Struthio camelus: one gene and its partners. The main gene of each other region encodes a partner of the protein of the gene in region 3 in a complex. Links are inferred from orthologs where the notes say so. Each region holds a gene or a part of one and is shown on either strand. Other genes may lie near its edges.

Region 1 (6,959 bases), on a different chromosome or scaffold from region 3:
AACTAAGACTTAAAAAAAAAAAAAGTGACAACTTCAGATAAACTAATCGTTACTTCTAAAAAGAATTACTGCATCATAAAACATTAACACTTATCCTTAGATCACCTGTAGATTTGCAAGGAGATGAGAAGATATGACTTATGTTCCTTACACATTAAAGTGTGCATGTATTTGAGCTATACTAGGGTGCCTAAACTCAGTGATCAAACACACACAGTATGACAGCTCCCTAGTTTCTCCAGCTTTCTAGACCAGCAGGAAGAAATTGACTTGAATTCATTTTTGTTTCATTCAAGGTTAAAAGTTTTAATCAATATTCTAAGTGTAAAATGGTTAGGTGTTTAATATTAAAGTTCAAAATATTTTTCACTGACATACTGAAAGTGTTAGGTAAAGATCAGTGCTCTATAAACTTCCACAAAGGTACACCACAGCTTTTTCCCCACATTAAAACTAACAGTTTGGAAGTCAGAACAGTACAGGCATTACTGCATAGTCATATATAATCTTCTGCAACTTAGCAATGTTAGTTAGCTCTATTAAAATAATTAGAACTGAAATAATATCTCTGTTTAACCCATTGTATTCCGTTTTCAGAATCACTGCTGTTGAGAGGAATAATTCACATGTCCCTTCTAGGTCGAGCTGCCTTCACATTCAGGAAGATAACAAGGAACCATCTGATGCTCAGTTCGTGTTTGTAACATCATGCTAAAAGCTTAATAATAATAACAACACTTTAAAAAGAGGGGAAAGAAAGAAAAGGATGCTGGACACAAGGCGCTGGTGCCGAGGAGGGCAGCGGAAGCCGTGGGGGCCCAGCTGGCAGCGGCAGTTGGGACGGATTCACCCTCAGGTTCCAGGGAGGCGGCGCATTCCAAGCCCTGCCCGCGCCCCCCGGCCCCCTCCTCCCACGTCCATGGGCGAAAACCAGCTCACCACAGAGCAAGCCCCCTTGCACCTCGGGTCAACACGAAGCGCCGTTTACTTTTTGGCCTCGCTTAGAATGGGACACCAGTAGACTGTAAGTTAAATGTATGTGAAGGTCTGGGGCTATTAACTTCAGATATTGCTTTAGGGGGAAGAAGAGACTGTCAAATGTGTTAGAATTGTCAAAGGAACTACAATAACCTTTCTCAGTTATGAAACTGCAGTGAAATATTGCATGAGAGTGGAACGCTGCCATGTAATTTCATCAAACAAGAAATTTGAAACATTAGGGGGGAAAAAAAAGTACTTCAAGAATTCTGTGCTAGCTATCTTCAAATAAAACTCACCTTGATTTTCTCTTCCTTTATTTTGCAGCTCTGAGTTGGGTACCATTGAAAGAAAAAAACAGATCTTCCAAATGCGAAAAAATCAAGCATAGTTTAACAGAATTAAACTTAATACCATGTGGAACAAAACAGTTATATTTCCTCCTTACTCTACATCTAGATTAATGATCTTGAAAGCATCTCGATGTAAACTTATACTATGATGATTAGTTTCAGGAATGTCATCATCATACACTGATAAGGTATTCTTCTAGGGTTATTGATCTCGAACCAGAAGTTCCTCTGCGATCCACAACTAGTTTTATTTTCAAATATAAGATGAAAGCACTTCATATCCGTAAGGGAAAATACAAGTTACAGCTTTGTAAAGATGAAATTATCGGTTACAATACCATAGATGGAATTTCTGAAGTTACGGAATGCAAGTTAAGAGTAACAGAAAACACTCTCTATGCACTGTTGTCTTGCAGACTGCTAAATTATGACAGTTCCAGCAGCTACCCTCTGCAAGCAAAGCCTCTTAATGAACCTTTCCCCATTTCTTACACAATTACAGCCCAAAAGTACTGCCTTCTTGTTTGACTTTCAGTTTTGCAGAAAAATAATATTAATTTGTGAACTCTTTCACTCTTCAGAAGAGATGCAGCACAGGCAGGTTTAGTAGATTTTGTAAGTGAAACTTTGAAGCCATCCTCACTTCCACAGGAAGCATGGTTTCACAGCAAACCCCAGATGCCATAGATAGGAAAAGATGCTAAATGAGTAATACTAATGTGAAAGCTTTCTCAGTCCCAATCCTTTTTTAAAGCACTACTTTATCAGTTTTCAGAAACTGATTTTCTATTCAGGGCAAAAATAACCATGGCAATAAAACAGTTCTCCAACATTCATCTTTTAAATACAAAGTGAAGACACATGTGTTTTCTTATAAATGAAAGAAAAGTGTATCTGGGGCTGCTGTTGAAGTTTGAGAGAAACGCTCTTCAGGAGATTTCAGGCTAGCTTATGACATCCTCAATCAAGGAACATGCCAAGTGAGAGTAAACGGGTTCATTTAAGATATTCGGCCAAGCAGCAGGCCTGAACATCAATTTCAAGCCTCAAGCCTGACATGCAGGCAGCGCAGAAACAACTCAGAAATAGAAAAGCAAGAAATAACACACCAGCAGCAGGAAAACAAGCAGCAGGAAAAGTCACTGTGGAAGCAAAGTTGTCGTGGGGGACAGGGCCAGCGACCGCAAGAAGCAGGAGCCGAGGAGGTTGCCTAGGTAAGCTACAACAAAGAGGCAGAGCAAAAAAGGGCGCAGGTGGGAGCAGCCTACAGGTGCGAGGAGCAGTTTATACCCGCGAGGTGATGCGGGGCAGCCAGGGGGAAGACGGGTGCCGCGCCTGTGGGGGTGCAGGGCCAGGAGGGCTGAGAGGGACAGCGGGAGCGACACCAGAGCGCGGGAGGCCACGAGCGGAGCCGGCACAGCCCGGCCCGGGGAGCCGCGGAGGGGGGGGGGGGCGGCACCGGGCAGGCCTGGCCGGGGGAGGGGTAAGATGGCGCAGCGCTCGCGCAGCCACACTCACCTGCGCGGTCTCTTCGCCATCCTCGGGGCGCACCATGGGGGGGGGCGCCAAGGCAGCAGGGTGCAGCCCCCGCCCGGGCTCCTCCTCCCGCAGCCGCCCCGCTGGCCGCCCCGGGGCGGCGGAAGGGACAGCGTCGCGGCGGGCGGCGGGCGGCTGGCGGTGACTTCAGGCGGGCGCGGCTCCTCTGACGGCTCCCCTCTCCCCGCGCAGCTCCGCGGCATCCAGAGCCCGCTGGCGGCCGCCCTCAGCCCCGGCCCGGCCCCGCACCCGCCGCGGCAGGCATGGCTCGGCCTCAGCCCGGCCGCTGCCCGCAAGCACGGGACGCGCAGGGGCCCCGCTCTCGCCCAGCTGCGCCTTCTCGCTCCTGTCAGAGCCGCCGCGGGCTCCGGCGGCGCCCTCCCGCCCCGAGCCGCTTCCCCGCCGGGCCTCGTCTCGCCTCCTCCCGTGCCGTGCCGCCTCAGTCCGGCCCGGCCCGCTGGCCGCCCCGGCCCTCCGCCGGCCCCGCGGTCCGGGCTGCGCCGCCACCGCCGCGCTCGCGGCGGGTTTGGATGGTGCCGCCGAATCTCGCGCCCAGCCTCCTTCCAGAGCCACCGTTTGAATCTGCGCAGGCGGACTGCCGCCCCATTGGCTGCCGCCGCCGCACGCGACCGGGGCGGGGCCGCGCGTCCCGCGGGACGGGGGGACGGGGGGAGGGGGAAAGGGGGGCGGGGCCGGCCTGCGACGGGGACGGGGGGGGCGGCTGGCGCGAGGCATGACGGGGGAGCGAGTCTTCGCCGCTGACAGGGCGGCGGCGGCGCCGCGGGCGGGGGCGGCGGAGGCCCGAGCTCGGCTCGCCGCCAGCCCGCTCCCCCCCCCCCCCCCCCGCCCCGTATAACGCCGCGTCGCTGGGGGCGGGCAGCCCGGAGCCGCGAGCGGCGCCTCGGCGCGGCGCGGTGCCCCGGGCGCTGTCAGACGTGGCGCGCGCGCTCCTGACTGGCAAAAAAAAATTAAAAAAAAAAAAAAAAACCGACGCTTTCAGCGCGCCGCCGCACGGCGCAAAACCAAGCCTCCTTCGAGCCGGAATCGAACCAGCGACCTAAGGATTCCCGCGGGCGGGCGGCGCCTCTACAGTCCTCCGCTCTACCAGCTGAGCTATCGAAGGGAGCTGCCTGAAGCGCCCGTCCCGCGCCTTACAGCCTCGCCGCGCCCCTCGCGGTGGCGCCGGGGCTGCGGCCGACCCCCACCTCGGGCAGCGCCGCCGCCGAGCAGCAGCAGCAGCCGCTGCCGCCGCGACAGAGCCCGTTACAGCAGACACTGCTCTTAGTTCTTGCGCTCTTCGGGAAGTAGCGACTTTCACACACCTTGTAATAAACAGTTGTATTTAAAAACAAAAACAAAAAAAACACCCGAGGCTTGAATTTTTATATTTGTGTGTGTGTGTATTTTCACGTTCACTCTAAGTACCTCTATGCCATTTTTATTTCAGGAACTCGGGACTTAGTCTAACTACGCATTTCTTCCACTGTGTGCAGCCGTAAGCAAAAAGGCCATGAAAACTAGAAAGTGAAAAAGAATATGAATATATAGTATTGTGATGATGAATAGATCGTGAATATATAGAATTATTAATTTTGTCCTAGATGAGATACACTTAAATGCATAGTATTTCTCACCTTAAGTGTTTACCACGGATAAATCACGTGCCTAAATCCACAGCTGTAATACTAAAAGCCCAAGGTCTGACTAGCCCTGGACGTGCCTATATTTCACAGACACTGCCAGTTATGAACTCTAAGATCCCTGGAGGCCGATGAACTGCCTCGGATCAGACCAGCTTTAGATCAAGATCTTTACCCGGTCCAAGTCTGGCAAAGCCAGCGCCTAGCTAAAAACCTGCGGCAGCCGTCCCCGTCGTCGAAACGTGACCCAGGAGGGCAACGGCTGCGGTGCCGGTTTGCACGTCTCGCGTGCTGCCGCTGTCCTTCACACCGCCGCTCCGGGCTGAGCCAGACCCACCTGCCCCTCTGCTTCAGCTCAGCGTTTCCCACCTCCCAGGAAAGCGCATCAGAATAAAGTCCTCGGGCCTGGAAATACTCCTTATTCCTCTTTTCAAAAGTTGTGTGAAGGAGAGGAGAATGAGGAGGGGGGGAAAAAACCAAAAAATAAATCATGGTAGTCGTAAGAGCGAGTAAAAATGAGGGAGGCTGAGTCCATCCGTAGCGGTTAGGTAGCCCCTGGGAGGAAGCAGCAGGGTTGCTGCTTCCAGGCCCATCTGTATGTTCCCAACTGCTAGTTTAATGTAAATATATAGGAACAGTCTCTCTTTGGGCCAGTGACTCTGCAATTCTTTGCCAGGCAGGAGCACAGTCTCAGCAAGCAGCTCAGAGATAGCCCTTCCCCCTTCCCTCCCGTTTCCCCCTCCTCCAAAAAATTGTGATGCCCAGTGGTTAAGCACTTGCTTGAGAAACAAGAAATGCGGGTTTACTCAAGCCCAGCCATCCCACTTATTGGGCGATGGCCCTAACCACCACGCTGTTGTACAAAAGGAGAAGCACCCAAATGCCTCACCACATCCTCTTGTGGCTGTGTAAACAGAAACACAAACCCTGCAGGGTTCCTCGGAGCGAAGGCCTGCCCGAACGATAGGGGTTGTGAGCAAGTGAGCCAAAATACCTGGGAGCACCTTCCCCTTGGAGTCGGTGTTTAAAGATCTCCTTTCCTCGGTGATCAGCTTTTAGGCAGGCACAGCATAAATGCACTGATTCAGGCAGGACTTTGCTGCGCTGCTGCTGTTTCAGACGCCCGAGGTACTGCAGGTACCACGCTCATGTCTTCTGATTGCATTTAAGGGATAAAGTATCTAAAAAGGGATGATGGATTGCAGTTCTTGGGTGCAGAGGCCCTAACACTCAGCTCTTTACTGTGATTTTTACCTTCTCGAATGGTGCCAAAGGAGACATCAAAACAGCACATGGTTTCTTCTTTTAAACACATGTTTTGTCTTCACTTCAGAGACAGATTTACTTACAGAAGATTGGTAAACACCACAATAGAGAAAGTAACTTCCTGAACATGCAACTGCCATGAAATTCAAACTAGATTCTAGTATAATCTGTGTGTTTTCTCGATATCCCCCTACACCAAGTCTTAAGCTGCAAGCTAGTGGTATGCATGAAGCCTCATTCAAACAAAACTTTGAAGCTGAGTTATAAGCATAAAGAAAATGTAACCGTTTCAAAACTCAAAAAATTATCGGAAGCTGAAAATTCAAATAGGGATTTTTAGGGACATTTATTTAGGCGATTTGGTGCACTCTCAGAAGCTCGAGAACAGCGCAGGCATGAATTTCAAGGTTTATTAGAGCTGGGGCCTAATGCCAGCATGTGGAGCTCAGTGAAGGAGAAAGGTCTACCTCTGTACTGGAACGTTTTTCAACATACTGTATGCCACCATAGGGTACTCTCATTTCTTCTACAATACGATTAAGTTCTTAAGCCAATAAGTGCAACCTCCATACTCTTGCACTAGAGTTTTGAAATACAGTGGCTCAACAACAGTGACACAGCAGTTAACCTTGATTGCTATTGGCATTTGATCACAGGGAAAGAAAAAATTTACTCCATTTTATAAACATTAACTGTATACGACAGAAACATTCAGGCACCTTATTTTGTTCTCAGCCCAGGCAGCGGATGCATTTCTTTGAGAAATCTGTAGTCATTTACATCAGAATTGGTAATATTTTCCCCAGAATGTAACATGTGAGCAGCAGCAAATGATTTTGATTGCTTTAAGGCTTATTGATGGTCATTTTGAATACTAGCTGGAATAATAGATTCATTTGTATGTTTTAAACCCAACTGCATTCTCCTTTGAGATATTTCAGCACTGTGGAAAGATATGAGCTGTGAAATTGATCTAGTCTAACAATACCCCGACGTCACGCAAAAGCTACACAGGAAGCAAACTTACAAAGAAATAAACCCATATTGTAAAGTTCTTCAACTATCTCATGTTATTTATATACACGTCATCCATGTTTGGATAACACACCCAATATATAGTTTCTACTTAATTTATGAATAGTACTGGATCTACAGGAAAAAATAATCACCCCACATGCGCTCCAGC
Region 2 (7,741 bases), on a different chromosome or scaffold from region 3:
TTATCTTTGCCAGGCAAGCTTTGAGTGACTATGTATTTCTCGTTGCTTCTCTGTACATTAAGATGTTTTTCAATTGCTTCTGAACTACTCAAATTCTCTGCAGGATTAATTTGTTAAACCAATCACTGTTGCACTGAAATTCTCACTATTTGAAAGCTACAACAGCTCATATCAAAATTTAACCTGCTGTTTAAAAATGTGAAGTTATATTACTTTTCCTCAGCTTGTCAGTTGTTTTTTAAGTGAAGATACATTCTAATTGGAACACGGAGTAGTATCTTGTCTTATTGTCAATAAGGAAACGTGAAAGCCCAATTACATTAGCCGTTAACAAAGGGTTCAGTTTTAAACACAGAATCTATTTAAACATTTCTTCTAATTGTTAAAAAAAAAAATACTGAAACGGGTAAAGAGGAAAAAGATCACTTCTCAACCTTTTGGCTTAGATCAAGCATACCATAGATGGTTGGAGAGGTAGGCCACAGAATCAAAGCTACTAACCTTGAAGACAATGATAATGAAAGTCTATGATGAAAGTCCCCAAAGCCTGGTTTTACTGACACCAATTAGCATCTTTTCATAGCTAGAGGAGAAACAATGAATACACATGGACAGTGAACTCTCCCCTGAATATATTATACCTCCTTGAGTAGAATACTAGCACTGACACTCCTGTTTTGCCTGTTGTCAACAGGTAACAATAAAAGAGTAGTCAGTGACAAACTCAACACCTGAACAGTATTTTTATGTACGTAAACTCAAAAATAAGTATTTTTAGCATCCAATGTGAATACACATAACGCCACCAACGCAAGTGCTTAAGTGCTTTTATGAGGACATTGACTCCTTGATTAATTACTCTGAAAAATGGCTGCAGATATAAAGCTGGCTTTATGTTGTAACATCTGAAGAAAAACAGTCTCAGCGTGGTGTATAACAGAGGAAAAGTATATTCCACAAATCCACTAATGCCGGCTACTGTAAAGCATAAATTGCTTTCCTTCTGCTAGTAAAAACAAAAGCAAAAATATATTAGCTATTCCTCCGCATATGACATACTACAAACATACTTACATCTTTTGCCATGTTACCAAAGACTAGAAATCAATCCTCTTCAAATCTTGATGGCTGCAGGACACAGAGACAATTGATGCTATTTTCTAGAAAGTAAGTAAAGACAACATCAGCTACAAGAACGAAAGGGGGAAAAGTTTTTACCGTGGAAATTACTGAATACCACCAAATACATTTTACTTTTTAAAAAAAAATGTTTTTAAGAAGAAAAAGTTTTATGTCATCATCAAATAACCCCCTAGTGCCCCCCACCCCAAACTCACATTTAGAAATACCCCTTATCCTACAGCTGGGGTGAGCTCTCCGCTGGCAGGAGCGCCCTTCCCCCAGCACATACCCGATCCCAGCAGGGCAGCCGGAGCCCACGCTGGGCCGGTCCCTGTCCAGCTGCGCCCTTTGCAACCCCGCGGAGAAGGGCGCGGGCAGAAGCGACGGGGAGAAGAGATCACTCCCTCGGCGGCCTCCTCCTCCTCCCCACCCCCATTTCCAGCAGCAGGCACAAGTAGGCCTCAGGGGCCAGCTCCCCCCGGGGCCTTCCGCAACCCCCCTTTCCTCCTCCTCCCCTCGCGGGCGGACGGGCCGCGGCTGCACCAAGAGGCAGAGACGGGCACTTGCCACCGCGCCTCGGGCACCAGCACGCCCGCCCGCCTCCCCCACCGCCCCCTCGATGCCCCCCGACCAGGGCCTCACCGCCCGGGCAGAGCCCTAAGCCCCGCGCCGCCTTCCCCTCAGCAGCGAGGGGCCGCGCTAATCGCCTCAGCGGCGGCGGGGGCACGAGGAAGGGGGGAAATGCGCCCGCGCGCGAGGCGGCATCGCCGGCAGCGGCTTGGGGGGGGGGGGGGGAAGGCGGCAGCAGGCGGGCGGGGGGGGGGGTCCGTCCTCTCCTAATCCTCCTCGCCCCGCCGCCGGCAGCACCTCGCCTGGCGCCAACTCCCCCCCCCCCCCAACACCCCCCTCGGATCATCCCCATCCTCCTCCTCCTCCTCCCGCAGGCCGGCCCGGGCTGCCCGCACCTGAGCGGCCGAAGGCGGAGAGAGCCGGCTCCATCCCCCGCCGCCGCCCCCAGACAGGGACCCGGAGCGCGGAGCAGGAGCACCCCCCGCCCGGCGCCGCGCTGCTGCGGAGGCGCCGAACTGCACATGTGCGGCAGCGGCGGCGGCGGCGCGCGCGGGCCTGGCGAGCCCGGCGGGAGGGGGCAGGGGAGGAGGCAGCCGGCGGCAGCGACTTGGGGGGGGGGGGGGGGAGACGACCAACGGTCCCCAACGGTAGCTCAGGCGGGGAGGGGGGGCCGGCAGGGACCGCCCCCCTCCTCGCGCGGCGCGGCGCGGCGTGGAGAGCACGGGGGGGGGGGGACATGGGGGGGGCGGCTCGCCTCACCGCCTGTCACTTCCCAGACCGCCCCTGCCCCAGCGGGTCAACGGCCTGGCGGGCTCCCGGCGAACCGCCGCCGCCGCCTGCCCCCCCCCCAGGTGCGAGCGGGCCCGCCCGGCCGCCCCCGGCCCCGCACACCTGCGCGGGCTCCGCGCCGCCCGCCCTCCGCGCTCTCCCCTGGCCGGGGCTGCCGCGGGGGGTGGGGGGGGCGCGGAGGGGGCGCCAGCACCGCGGCCCCTCCCCGGGTCCCGCGCGCGCGCGCGCGCGCGACCCTGCGATTCTTTCTTTCTTTCTTTCCTTTCTTTTTTTTTTTTCCTTTCCCCCGTTGGCAGGAAAAAAAAAAATTGAAACTTACACTTTTGTGCGTCCCACCGGCGTGACGCTGCGCGCTGACGTCACGGGGGTGTAGCGTGCCTTGCACGGGCACACGCGGAGCGGTTAGAGGCAACCGTCCGCCCCTCCGTGGGCGGAGGGAGCATGCGCGGGATTTTCGCGCCTTCGGACTGCCCGCCCTGCGGCGCTCGGAGCGAGCGCGCGGGAAGCCTCGGCGCGAGATTGCTCTTCGGCCCCGGCCGCCGCCGGGCTCCTCGCGGAGGGAGGGAGGCAGGCAGCCCGCGCCGCGTCTCGCCTCCGCGCTCCTCGCCCGCGGCCGATGGGAAGCCCTAGCGTTCCCCGGCCCCGGCTGACAGCGTTTCAGGGGCTGCGGGTGCCATGACGCTGTTAAATTGGAGCCGGCTTGCACGGTGTGGTTAGTTGCCACAACATCCTGCCGGTGCTTCCTCATCGCTTCTTGTCCTGCTGTTACTTGAGCAACTTCACTGAGGCTGATCCATTCCAAGCTTGTCATTTCATAGCACTTGCAGGGAAAAATTTTCCTGTTACACAGCTGCTGCTGTGGTGCTTGAATTAGGCCAGATCCGCCCTAAAGAATCAGCCTGCATGATTTCTTGCACTTAAGGATGTGAAACCTCCACATACTCTATATGCTAGCAGAAAGACAAGCGCGCGTGCAGCTACAGCAGCAGAAAAGATGTTTGTTAGCTAGGGCTGCGTGATGTAATTATACAACAAAGATGTAATTTTTGGCAAAAAACTTTCAGCATGCATAGTAGGAGCTATAAAGGCATAGCAATAACGGTAGAAACTAGCAAAGGCAAAGCCTTATGCTTCAAAAGCTGTGTTGGTTATAGGTGCAGATAAAAGACTGCTTGAGGGAGGGAGCTGCTCAGCAACTTTTGCATGCAATACCAAGTGTGTATGATAAGGTTATCGTAACACAGTCAAGAGGGGAGCAGGAAAGAAAAGATTCTTTCTTTCTCAAAAACTGTGCTACTTCCTGATCGTGCCTGGGAAAGACGACTATTCGTGAATAAAAGACATTACCAGGAGAGCTACTATATAAAAACAGAACGAAAAATCAGTCACAGTCCCCAGAGAAGGTTCATCAGTTGACTAGATTCACACTGAGTTTACCTCTTTTACACTTTTTTTTTTTTTTTTTTAAATCTTGGAGTTGTGTTTTCTAACAATGAGAAAACACTAGTTACTCTGATTCTTTTGATAAATGTAGCCACAGTCCAAGTTTTTCCTTTACAGTAACACCTTGCTACCTGTCACTCACTATTTTCAGGTTCCATGGCTGATGATTTAGTACCCTGCTCTGCTAACTAAAATGGGGTTATACCCATTTTTCCATTCTTCATTCTTGACTGAGCTTGAAGAGCAGTGAGCCTCTGAAAAGATAATCATATTGGAAACGTAACTGTTGAGGAAGACACAGACCTCCCCAGTGCTGCCCCTGAATGCCCAGAGCTGACCCTCAGGTGAAGCAGCTGAGATCTTTCTGCATGGTGACCCATTCCAAGAACAGGTAGATAAAGCTGTCAGCAGTATTGCAAGATTCAACTACATTAAGAGAGCTACTATTCAAAATCTCAGGCCAGTAAGCTGTCAGCTCTCCAGTCAACAAAACCAGCCTCAGCCAAAAAAAAAAAAAAAAAACACACACACAACAACTCAAAAAAGCCAGCATCTCCTCCAGTTGTTGATGCTGCTCTCCATCTTCTGTGCCATATATACTGTGTCAGTGTATTTAAACTGTGTATATTTCTTAAGTCCCTGCATGCGTCTCCCTTTATTACCTCAATTCTTAGGGGAAAAAATTGTTTCACTATACCAACTACCACAAAGCACTGCAATTTCCAGGAATGCATCCTCAACAGACGACAGGGTGTCCCGTCCTAGGATAAAGGGACCACAAAAAAGCAAATACTTCTAAAAAGGTAGAATTCAGTGACTGTGCTAAGGAACAAAGCATTTTCTCCCATGTTTTGAGTTCTACCTGACAGACTAGCACCACCTTAAAAAAGTTTGAGGTTGAAGAGAAAAATTCTAGCTTCTCTAGTACAGAGGAAAATTGACAAAAATCTTCTTACAAAGAAAAATAAAAATGAAAAATAATGTGTTTGCAGTTGTGGTTTGTATGGACTAAGACAACTATGCTAGCTTTCAGAGCAAAGGAGTAGTAGCAATCAAAGGACAGAACATGAACCTGGTCTACCACTACCTGCTTTTGCAAACTACGTAGCTTCTCTACAAACATGTGAATCAAGTCTTTCTTCATCCTAGACAATAAAGAAATGGTAACTGAAGACCACTGTTTTTTCATTACTCAAGTTCTTCTATTTACATTTGTCATGTAATCCTGCTGTGTTCCTTATGCGTGCCAGTAAGCTTCTTGTCTTTGCCCTGAACTTCCTGTGAGACAATTGAACAAGCACATACTACAGAGGTACAGCACTTGTTTTTTCCTTTAATGCTTTAGGCGTTCTCCATTCCTTATGCAGCTTGGGGTGGGGGTGAGAGGAGAGAATGTTATCCTCCTTTTGCCAGCATTTATTTTACCACATTAATAACTCCCTAAGCCTATTTACTCCCAGCAGTTTTTTTCTTAAGCATAGTGTTGTTTACAACTAATTTGAAATATTTTATCAGTGGAAAAATCTTCACTGTTTCTCTAATCTCTGAGCACTCCTTTTTTGGCCTTTTCTCAGGCATTCTGGAGCTTTCGGACTTGCTTTGTTTGTAGTAGTAGAAAGCTATCCCTATTGACGACTGTTTCTCCTCTGGTGTACCTCCTCATTTTAAATAAGTTCGAAAAGGAGAACAGATCACACCTTCAAGTCATATCACTCTGGCATAATGTGTAAAAGACACAGAAACAAAGAAAACTACGGGTTGCAAGAGGTTATCTAGCCTATAGTTAGCTACCTATGACATGAGACCAGCGATAGCACAGGGACACATTTTGACCTGCATGCTTCACAGCTGGAAGCTATGCCATCTTAAGGCAGGCACATCTTAAGGCAGACACAACTGTCTTAAAGAGACAGCTAGTATCAACTGATCAGCTTTTCAGCATCTGGGCTCATTTAGAGGTAGTATCTCCCAATTCCCAAATTTGTTTTACCTTAGGAAATAAAAATACAGCTGGGTACTGTAACCTTGGAAGTTTGCCATTCTCTGATCTAGATTTTGCTCTGCAAGGCAGGATCAGTTGTCCTTAAGCCCCTTCTGGTCACACAATTGTCTAATTTGTTCTTAATCTCCAGCAACCAAGACTCCATAGTCTCTTCCAGTGATACACTGTTGCAAAGTTTTTCCCACCTGGCACCAGTAACTACTCAAGAGAGGCAGTAGGAGAACCAAGGAGGCATGACTCCTGAGCTACTAAGTGTAGTTGGTAGATGTATGCCTTTCTGCCTCGCCTTTTGTTTCCTTTTGGGCAAGGTGGGCCACATGTTTCCCCAACTGTAGGACATCTTGCTGCTTTTCCTTCACATTCCACTATTGTTTCCTCCCTCATTGTCAGATTAGTTTACTAGTGGATGTCTGCTAATTGCTGTTTATAAACTGTTGCTGCTTCCAGTGACAACATCTACACTGTCAGCATAGCTTGCCTCATGTCACTTAGTGGTCCAGTTTCCTCCATCTTCCACACTGCCCTGGTGCTGAAATACTGCCCAGATTGCTTACAGAGCAGCACTACAAATTCTTTCCCTAGACAAAAGCCAGGAGTGATTCTGAGGTTAGACTGCTCCTGGATTCAGTCCAACAGGCAATAAGACTTCTCATTCCCTCTATCAAACCTCATCATATAATACTATTCCTTTATGCTATAGCTGCCCCCTTCCCCCCCACCCACAAAGCAGAGAGCGTCCAACTGTTTAAAAAAAAAAAAAAGGCAAAAAAAAAGGAACCATGAAGCTGCTTTCTCATCATCTTTAACAACTATTAAAAAAATACATGAATTCTTAAAAACTTTACAAAGTTAGGGAAGTCCCATGGACTATGTCATTATGGCAGCATTCCTTGAGCTATCCTAGGCCCATGCAAGTGACAATTGCCAAAAACCTGCCTCCCACCTCTCAGAGTTTTCCTTTTGAGAGACTGAAGCAGAGCCTGCTTAGATGGGGTGAGCTGTAAGTAGGGTGGTTGTGCGTCAATACATACCAGCCTGACCCTGGGAATAGGAAAAGGAATCTAAGTATAAGTACAGTCCATGCTATGAATATTTAAACTGTTTGGTTCCTTCTCCTTCATGGGCAACAATGACTAAAGCAGCAATCAAGCGGGTAAGAACTCCAGTTCTCAGACAGAAAGCTACAGTCCCTGAAACAAACTGAGATGCATAAAGCAAGCAACCAGTTACACTCCCCTCCGCCAAAAGAAATAATAAATAAATCAGATATGCTGAACAAGTTGCCACTCGCATACAGAACAGACCCTTCCTTTCTACTCACTTAAGCTCACTTCACCACAGAAATAACCACTCATCACCAGCAAAGACAAAGGTTCTACCCTCCATCAGCTTTTCTGTATTCAAACAATACTGATCATTAGGTAAAAGAATGAGACAGATATCAGCCAACAAGCTGAAACAAAAATTTCCAGAAAAGACCACCTGTTCTTCAACAAGCCTTTATAAAATCATGAGATTTTACTTACAGGCGTTCTAGGTCTCTGCTTTATTTATATCTCCTCAACACGGGGCGGGGGAGACCACAAGTATTTTGGAGTACAAGTGTAAGTTCCTAAAAAGCTGCAACTGCATCTACATGGACCAGTTGTGAAATATTCTTCCCATTTTCCATACAGGCACATCAGATCTTTGAGGAACAACGTCTGTTGCTTCTATCCTAAGATTTTTATCATGAGAGTGTCCGATTTTGACATAGAATTATGCATGAAGGCATTACCTGCGTTTCAGGAAGTATTTACACCACTTTAAATGCAC
Region 3 (6,873 bases):
TTCTCTGAGAGCAAATCTTTTTCAAACATATGTAGGTGCTTGGATTAAAGCTAGTATTTAGGTTAAGCAACAGTTTCAAAAGCCTCCAAGTTGAACCGATTTTCAGTGAGAAACAGGCTCTACTATAGCGTGGCTCCTTTTTTACCCAAAGTACTGACAGCTTTAGGTAACTAAAGACTATTAACTCTTGCGTGGGAACAATCTATGTGGCAACTGCAAACAAAGTTGTTGCGTTGCCATTTGTGTGTAATTCCTGCTGCAGAGCTAGAGCGACTTCTCATAAAACGGTGCCTAGGCCTCTGCACTCTGCAGACGAACGTTTCAATAAAAACTAAAGTCAGCACCTGTTTGCTTTAAATTGTCCCATCATAAATTAGGGCAGGTCAGAAGCTGCTGTGTGAGCTTCCTCGCAGGGGGTCATTGAGGCTGGTACTGCTGAAGCTGCTCATGAACAGCAGTTTCACGAGTTAGTGAGGAAGAGCGTGGGAGGCACTCTTAACATGATGTGGAAGCGCGTCTGCTGGACCTGACTTAATCAGGCTGGTAACCTGCTCTAGGGGTGCTGGGGCTCCAGAGGTGCCCTATTCCAGCGCATGAAGATGTATTTTATGCACCGGACCATTTACTGTTAAAAACACAAGTAGTCTTGAAGCAAGGGGCTTGAAAGACAGGTCTCCTCCTTCCATCTCAAATGGGTATTTTAGCTCCCAGCTAAAGAAGTCATGCTCACTCCACGCTGTCTCCAATAATTTTTTTGTCACCTTATAAAAGGCCGAATACCTGTAACTGGAACCTTTGGCTCGGAGGGTTATAAATGTACTTTTACATGCCTAATGGCCTGCAAAACCCTTACATGGGGTACAGGTGTGCTGCGCAGCATCACCCAGTATGGGGACTGCTGCTGCCCACCGCAAGGCAGCTGGGAGCCAGCACAGCACTTGAAAGCCTGTATGGGGATAATATATTCCCAGCAAATATTTGGAGTGCTCTGAAGTACCTCAGCCATTAGTGCTATTTTAATGCTAACAGTCTGTGACTAATTAAGCCAAATTGGCAATTTTGTTCTGCCTCTGAATTTCCACTTGAACTAAATTAAAGGGAATTGATCCTATGACTGAAATTTGATTAGAACGCTGAGCTTCAACATCTTAAATTTAACATGCACTCAGATCCACTGATCCAGCGAAGTATTTAAGTACATGCTTAACTCTAAAGCTATGAATAATCCCACAAATGGGAATAACTTTCAAAAACATGTTTATAGGCACCGCAGAACAGGGGCTGAACGCTTTACAAAGTAGGTAACTTGTGCTCAGTTGAACGATGGGAAACTGGAGTTACCTGAGCAGTTTTCCAGTTTATATCTCTACTGAGGGGCCAAATGCCCTCATTCTACTTGTAAAAGCGACTGAACTTAATTGGATGTACCATAAATGTTTGTGCTGCAGTACTTTGAATTGTCAGCACTGATGCGGCCAGATACTGAACATCCCTCAGATTCATTTCTCTGATCGTGGTTTCACTTCCTTCCTTGCCTGTGACCATCCCTCCCTCACTGTCCTCAGCAGCTCTTCCCTCTCTTTCCTGTAAGCCCCAAATTCAGCTGCAAACAGCCCCAGCCCTCCTAGCCCCCCTCCTCGGCACGCGCAGCCCTCGGGGCAGCCTGCGGAGCTCACCCCGCGCCCACCTCGTCCCCCTTCGCCCGCCGGTTTCTCCTGGTGCAGCACCAGCACGGCTGCTGGGAAGAGCGGCTGCAGCTACTGTGGCTTAAAATCGGCCTCATGAGTTTAAGTCACTTTTAAGGAAGCTTTCAAACAGGACAAGCTGTCCAAACCCTGAGACGTTTCTAACTTTCTTTTCTAGTCTTCTTTCTTTTTGCTCCCTAAAAGCCGCCCGCCCCTCTCATTGGAAAGTTAGTGCATCCTCCCCTGCCTCAGACTCCGGCCCTGGTTGCAAGCATGGCAAGCAGGGCCCCCGTGAAATGACAGTGTTTTCCTGCTTTCCTGAACAGCGGCTTGGACACAAAGTCTGTGGTTTTCTCAGTGGGCAGAGAGTCAACAGTAATATAGTGGCTCACCTGTCCCTGTGTGGTTGCCTGTCCCTACCGGCTAACTTCTTAGGTTCACTCAACGATAAGGCGTAAATATGCTTGTTATTTTAGTTCTTTCAAAATTATTAATCGTTCCCCACAGCGGTAATAGTACCAGTTTAAACCCAAGGTGGGGTATACAAACAAGGATGCGGCTCAGGTCTCTCAAACGGTTCATTTCGTATCACAGCGAAGGTGACGGCATGAAATACCCCTGGAGTTTCGGCAGGTAAAGAGGAGAAGACAAAGGTCAGTGGGATCACAGGTGCCCCAGGATCTTTGCCATTTGAGAGCAAAGGGTGTTAGAGAGAGCGACTGCAGCCAGCCGGAAAGCCCGGCACGGAGGCGTCTCCGCACAGCAGCGTTACACCGAGACCGGTGATGATGAAGAAGGAAGAAACGGTCTTGCTGTTTGGCGCAAACTTGCCCGCGCGTTGTGCTTCCGCTTCCACGGAGAAAGCCTCAGCGCAACCCCGGAGCGAAGCGCAGCGCAGCGCGAGAGGACACCTGCGTTCCACCTTCGGCAACGAGCGCCAAGCTGCTCTGATCTCCACAGAGCGCGCCTGCCAGCCCGGCGCTGCGGTGGCGCGGCAGGCCCGTCCCGGGCGGCGTCGGTGGCCGGCCGGGCCCCCGCCGCCCCCCGTCCCCCTACGTGTAACCCCACGTTCGCAGGACGGGGGCGGGTCCTGCGTTTACTTCTGCCAGCTGTTTCGCTGCACATTTGCTAGAAAATCCCTCCAGTTTGAGGCGGATTGCCTGGCGCCCGTTCATATCTTGATGTTGGGAATATTTTTTAAAGTCATCAACTGTTTCTTGCTGGTCTTTGTAGTCAGCCCGTTTAAAAATAGCACAAACAGCTATCGATGAATGCAGCCACATCAATGCTGAAAAATAAAGCGATCTAGCCAGCTTTCCACAGCAGCGTCGTTACCAGCATTGCCTGCTGTCACGAGGCCCCAGAGAGCAGGAACCGCCGTCCTGCCCTGGGGACACTCTGCGGTTCCTGGCCGAGGAGGCTGAGCGCGGCATCTGCCAGACGCTACCTGCTGCCCTCCCGGCCCACGGGCCGGAGATGCTGCAGGTGGCCAAGCAGTCGCGTCCCCCCGGCAACTCCCCAGCCCAGCCCCTCTCCTCCCCTCCGATCTGCTGACAGCTGACTGCAGCAGCTGAAAGCGCCTTTCTCGTCCGTCACATCCCATTTTTCTCCCTGGGGTCACAGCTTCCCAGCAGCTTAAGCCAATTAAAAATCCTTCCGCGCCCCACCACCCGCTCCCCGCCTCGGCGCTGGCAGTCGAGCAGAGCATGGCCGGCCGCTTTGGGGGCTGTATTCAGGCAGAGATGAGCCCAACCAAAAAAAAAAAAAATTGTAACAAGATCACGTCCCAGAACCAGCTTGCCGCAAGACCCTGTGAATGTGGGACCTGCCAAAAAATAAATGAATGAAAGGAGAACGAGAGAGAGGGCAGAACGTTTCGTTTTGATTTTAATAATACCGGTAATCGGGAACCGGTAGTCCTCATTACCTCGATAACAAACAGCACGTTAACACTGTTTTGCCTTAAGCTGCCACGAAACGACATCCTCGTTTTGCGAGCAGGTAATGCAGCGGCGGGCACAGAGCGGCGGCCCCGCGCCGGGACGGGCTGCGAGCGCCCCAGCAACCGCCCGCCTCGCCGCCGGGCCCGGCCGCCGCCCCGCCGCCCGTTCCCGCCAAAAGAGGGCGGGGCGCGGCGGAAGGGGCCGGTCCCTTCCGGGTGAGGGGGAGTTGGCGCGCGGGGCCTGCGGGAGCGGAGCCGCCGGGCCGGGCCGGGCCGGGCCCCGCCATGTCCCGCGCGGAGCCGCCGCCCGCCGAGCCCGGCGCCGCCGTCGAGCGCCTCTGCCAGGAGCTGAACCTGGACGCGGCCAGCGCCGCCGAGGCGCTGCGCGACTTCACGGCGCTGCGCGGCACCTACAGCCTGGAGGTGAGGGCGGCGGGGCCGGGCCGGGCCGGGCCGCGCCGCCTGTCAGCGGGTGCCGCGGGGGCGGCCGGCCCCGCCGGGGCGCGGCGCTTCGCGCGCTCGTCGCTGCCCGCGGGCCGGGCGCGCCCGGGGGCACCGGGACGCGGTGGGTCGGGGCGGGGCGGCGGCGGCGCGGCCCGGCCCGGGGCCGCTGTCATCCTGCCGCCGCCCCGGGCTGCCGCGGTTGGGCCGGAAGGAGCAGTTCGGGGGTTCCTGTGGCTCCGACTCGCCGTCGCTTGTGAGCGCTAGAGCGCAGAGGCCAGTGTGAGCTCGTCAAATAACAAATGAAACAGATTTGCACGCCCAGAAAAAGCCGCTGCTGGTAGGAGCTGATTCGGCTGTGGCTGGGTGCTGAAACCGCCCTTTAAATTTAGGTGGCAAATATGCAGCCAATACACTATTCGTTTATCTCCTAATCCCTCTTCAATGGGAAAGCGTATTGCAAAAACCTGGTCTTAAGAACTCATTAGTTCTACTTGAAATTCGTTTCTCTTCAGCCACATGGGCATGTGCTTACTGTAATCCTCAGTTAGAAAATATATCCGGAGGAGTCTGAAAGATGTCAGCTGTTGCATTAGCCTCGGTGGCCAAATTACACTGTGTACTTTTTGTTTTTTCTTTCAAAAAATACATCCTCTGCCCTCTCTATTATTGCAAGTTGAATGGAAAAACAGAACAGTAACCTCCTTGTGTATGTGTATGCGCATAGATATATGTTTTTGTATAAGTTCCGCAAAACGTGCGGAGAAGAAAGCCCTCCAGCTCCCCACATGCTGGTTCTCGTTATTGTCACCAGAGGTTTTTGGAGGCTCTGTAAAGCTGAGGTGTAAGCTGAGCGCAGCCTTTCCTGGCTCAGCAGTCTGGTGCCTTGCTGTGGTTTGGCAGGGAGAAGTTGTCCATTGGCTGGCATGCGCTCTGTACGTCGCCTGCCGCAAGAGCGTCATTCCGACCGTTGGAAGCGGCCTTATGGAAGGAAACTGCGTCTCGCTGACCAGGATACTACGTTCGGCCAAATTAAGGTTAATTTTTTCACGTTGTTACTTATTGTGGAAGTCCCAGAATCTGACTCTTCCAGTATGTAAGGTAGTAATTTATTGTTCCATTAGCGTATGCTTAGTAATTTAGGCACCCAGGCTTTTATTTTTGTCAAGACTCCAAGCACTGCAAAACTTGCATGTCCCGAGGTAACGTTGTAAAAGCAATAAATCCTCTTTCGTTACAAATGGAAATAAGATGCAAATACTTTTTTTTTTTTTTTCCCTCCGAGTTCAACTTCAATCCTTTGAAAAACCACCCACATCAGACTAACAGTTGTTCCACCCACAGAGTTGGGTTTTTTCTTTTTGTAGTTAATTGAAACACAATTGAGACTTCTGAATGTTTCATTAGTAATCCAGATAAAACCTGTATTTGACTCGGGATTTAGGCCAAATTGCCAGATTCGGTCTTGACTGCTATGTCGTTTGGCGTTTTTGGGGACGCAGAACTGCGCGATTGCATAAATACTTATGTGCTTCAAGGTTTTTCCAGTAGATAGCTCTGCTTACATAGATGCTGCCACTATAATTGTAACCAATGATATAACTGAAATGAATGAATTTCATGTTCCATTTAAAGAACCATTTTCAGCTGGACTGCCAAAGGGATTTTTGCCGCTGTAATTACACCTGCATTTAATGTTTTTTTGTCTAGGTAGCTTTGATAGGCATGGACTCATGTTTTTGTTGCCTCCCCTCCCTCCCCCTTAACAGTCGCGTAGCTATGTACGCTCTTTCCGTCTGTAGCCCTCCCTTAACCAGCGTTGCTGTGCTGGCAGCCTTTGAATGCGAGTAAGGTTTTTCCATGTCTGTGGCTTCAAGAGAGTCAAGAGGAATAAATACAGAAGCTAAAAGCTTCCAACGTGTACAGTTTGGCAGTGCATCAAAATAAAGGCATTTTGCCTTGGTCAGAAATTCACAGAATAAATACACTTAGTTAAAGCTCAAAATAAAACAGATTTTTCTTTTTTCTTTGAAGTTTAATTCAGTTTTTTAGCAAAATGAAAAAGTGGATGGACATGTCAAATCTACCACAGGAGTTCCGAGAGCGAGTAGAGAGGCTGGAGAGAAATTTTGAAGTGTCAACTGTGATTTTCAAAAAGTTTGAACCAATATTTTTGGATGTATTTCAAAACCCTTACGAAGAAACTTCTAAACCACAACGAAGCAGGAAACAGAGGTATTTGTGAGGCTTAATGTGACTTTTCCCTGGAAAGGGCTACCTATGGTACAGCTTTACAAAAATTAAGATCATGTTTTGTGCTTTAAAAAGTCCGGGAAGGTTCTGAAGTGGTAGGGTCACTTTGCTTTGTGGCCTTGACTCTGAAATGCAATGAATAAAGAAGGACCCCTCCATCTTGCTGGGATAGTGCTGATATGAGCAGAGCTTTTCCTCTGTATGTTGTTTCTGCAATTCACTGTAGGATTCGGATATTGGCTTGTAATGAGAATGTCTCTGTATGATGGGAAGAGCTACAGTGAGATAGATTAACTCCCGCAAAGAGCAGTACTGATGATGTTTAGCCAAAATAACTGAAGTAATACAGGGGTATTTTGTCTTGGCAAAGTACCTCCTCAGGTAGTTGATGTCCTGAAATAATCCGTCTGTACAGTCTTAGCTGCCTGTGCTGAATGGGAAAGCATTTCCAGTTCCGTGGCTTTGGATGATCTCTACGCCAAACTCAATGCAGGAGAAGAAGCTGTAATACAAGTAATAGTTGCATGTGTTGAAGGGATGACTGATGCTTTG

The links. Proteins that work in one complex are often made in the same cells at the same time.
Region 1: RBL1 (region 3) and MYBL1 share a complex: the UniProt entries of both Homo sapiens proteins name them as parts of the DREAM complex. The link is inferred for Struthio camelus from reciprocal best matches to the Homo sapiens genes RBL1 and MYBL1.
Region 2: the proteins of RBL1 (region 3) and TFDP1 are in contact, whole or in part, in a crystal structure (PDB 5TUV), measured with the Homo sapiens proteins. The link is inferred for Struthio camelus from reciprocal best matches to the Homo sapiens genes RBL1 and TFDP1. Residues at the interface, in NP_002886.2 of Homo sapiens: Tyr1004, Phe1006, Asn1007, Ser1011, Leu1014, Ile1017, Asn1018, Ile1021; in NP_009042.1 of Homo sapiens: Pro260, Phe261, Ile262, Thr290, Phe291, Glu292, Ile293, His294, Asp295, Ile297, Glu298.

Annotation. Positions count from the first base shown.
Region 1 is NC_090943.1:132,430,899-132,437,857, reverse strand, and holds the start of MYBL1 (myb-related protein A), read right to left. Parts: upstream 3,016-6,959; 5' UTR 2,870-3,015; coding exon 2,850-2,869; intron 1-2,849. UniProt on the Homo sapiens protein: Transcription factor that specifically recognizes the sequence 5'-YAAC[GT]G-3'.
Region 2 is NC_090942.1:156,567,560-156,575,300, forward strand, and holds the start of TFDP1 (transcription factor Dp-1), read right to left. Parts: upstream 3,016-7,741; 5' UTR 2,801-3,015; intron 2,635-2,800; exon of another isoform or gene 2,584-2,634; intron 2,396-2,583; exon of another isoform or gene 2,088-2,395; intron 2,010-2,087; exon of another isoform or gene 1,765-2,009; intron 1,750-1,764; exon of another isoform or gene 1,338-1,749; intron 1,161-1,337; 5' UTR 1,087-1,160; coding exon 1,075-1,086; intron 1-1,074. UniProt on the Homo sapiens protein: Can stimulate E2F-dependent transcription.
Region 3 is NC_090959.1:872,794-879,666, reverse strand, and holds the start of RBL1 (retinoblastoma-like protein 1), read left to right. Parts: upstream 1-3,871; 5' UTR 3,872-3,912; coding exon 3,913-4,050; intron 4,051-4,971; coding exon 4,972-5,105; intron 5,106-6,102; coding exon 6,103-6,303; intron 6,304-6,873. UniProt on the Homo sapiens protein: Key regulator of entry into cell division. Directly involved in heterochromatin formation by maintaining overall chromatin structure and, in particular, that of constitutive heterochromatin by stabilizing histone methylation.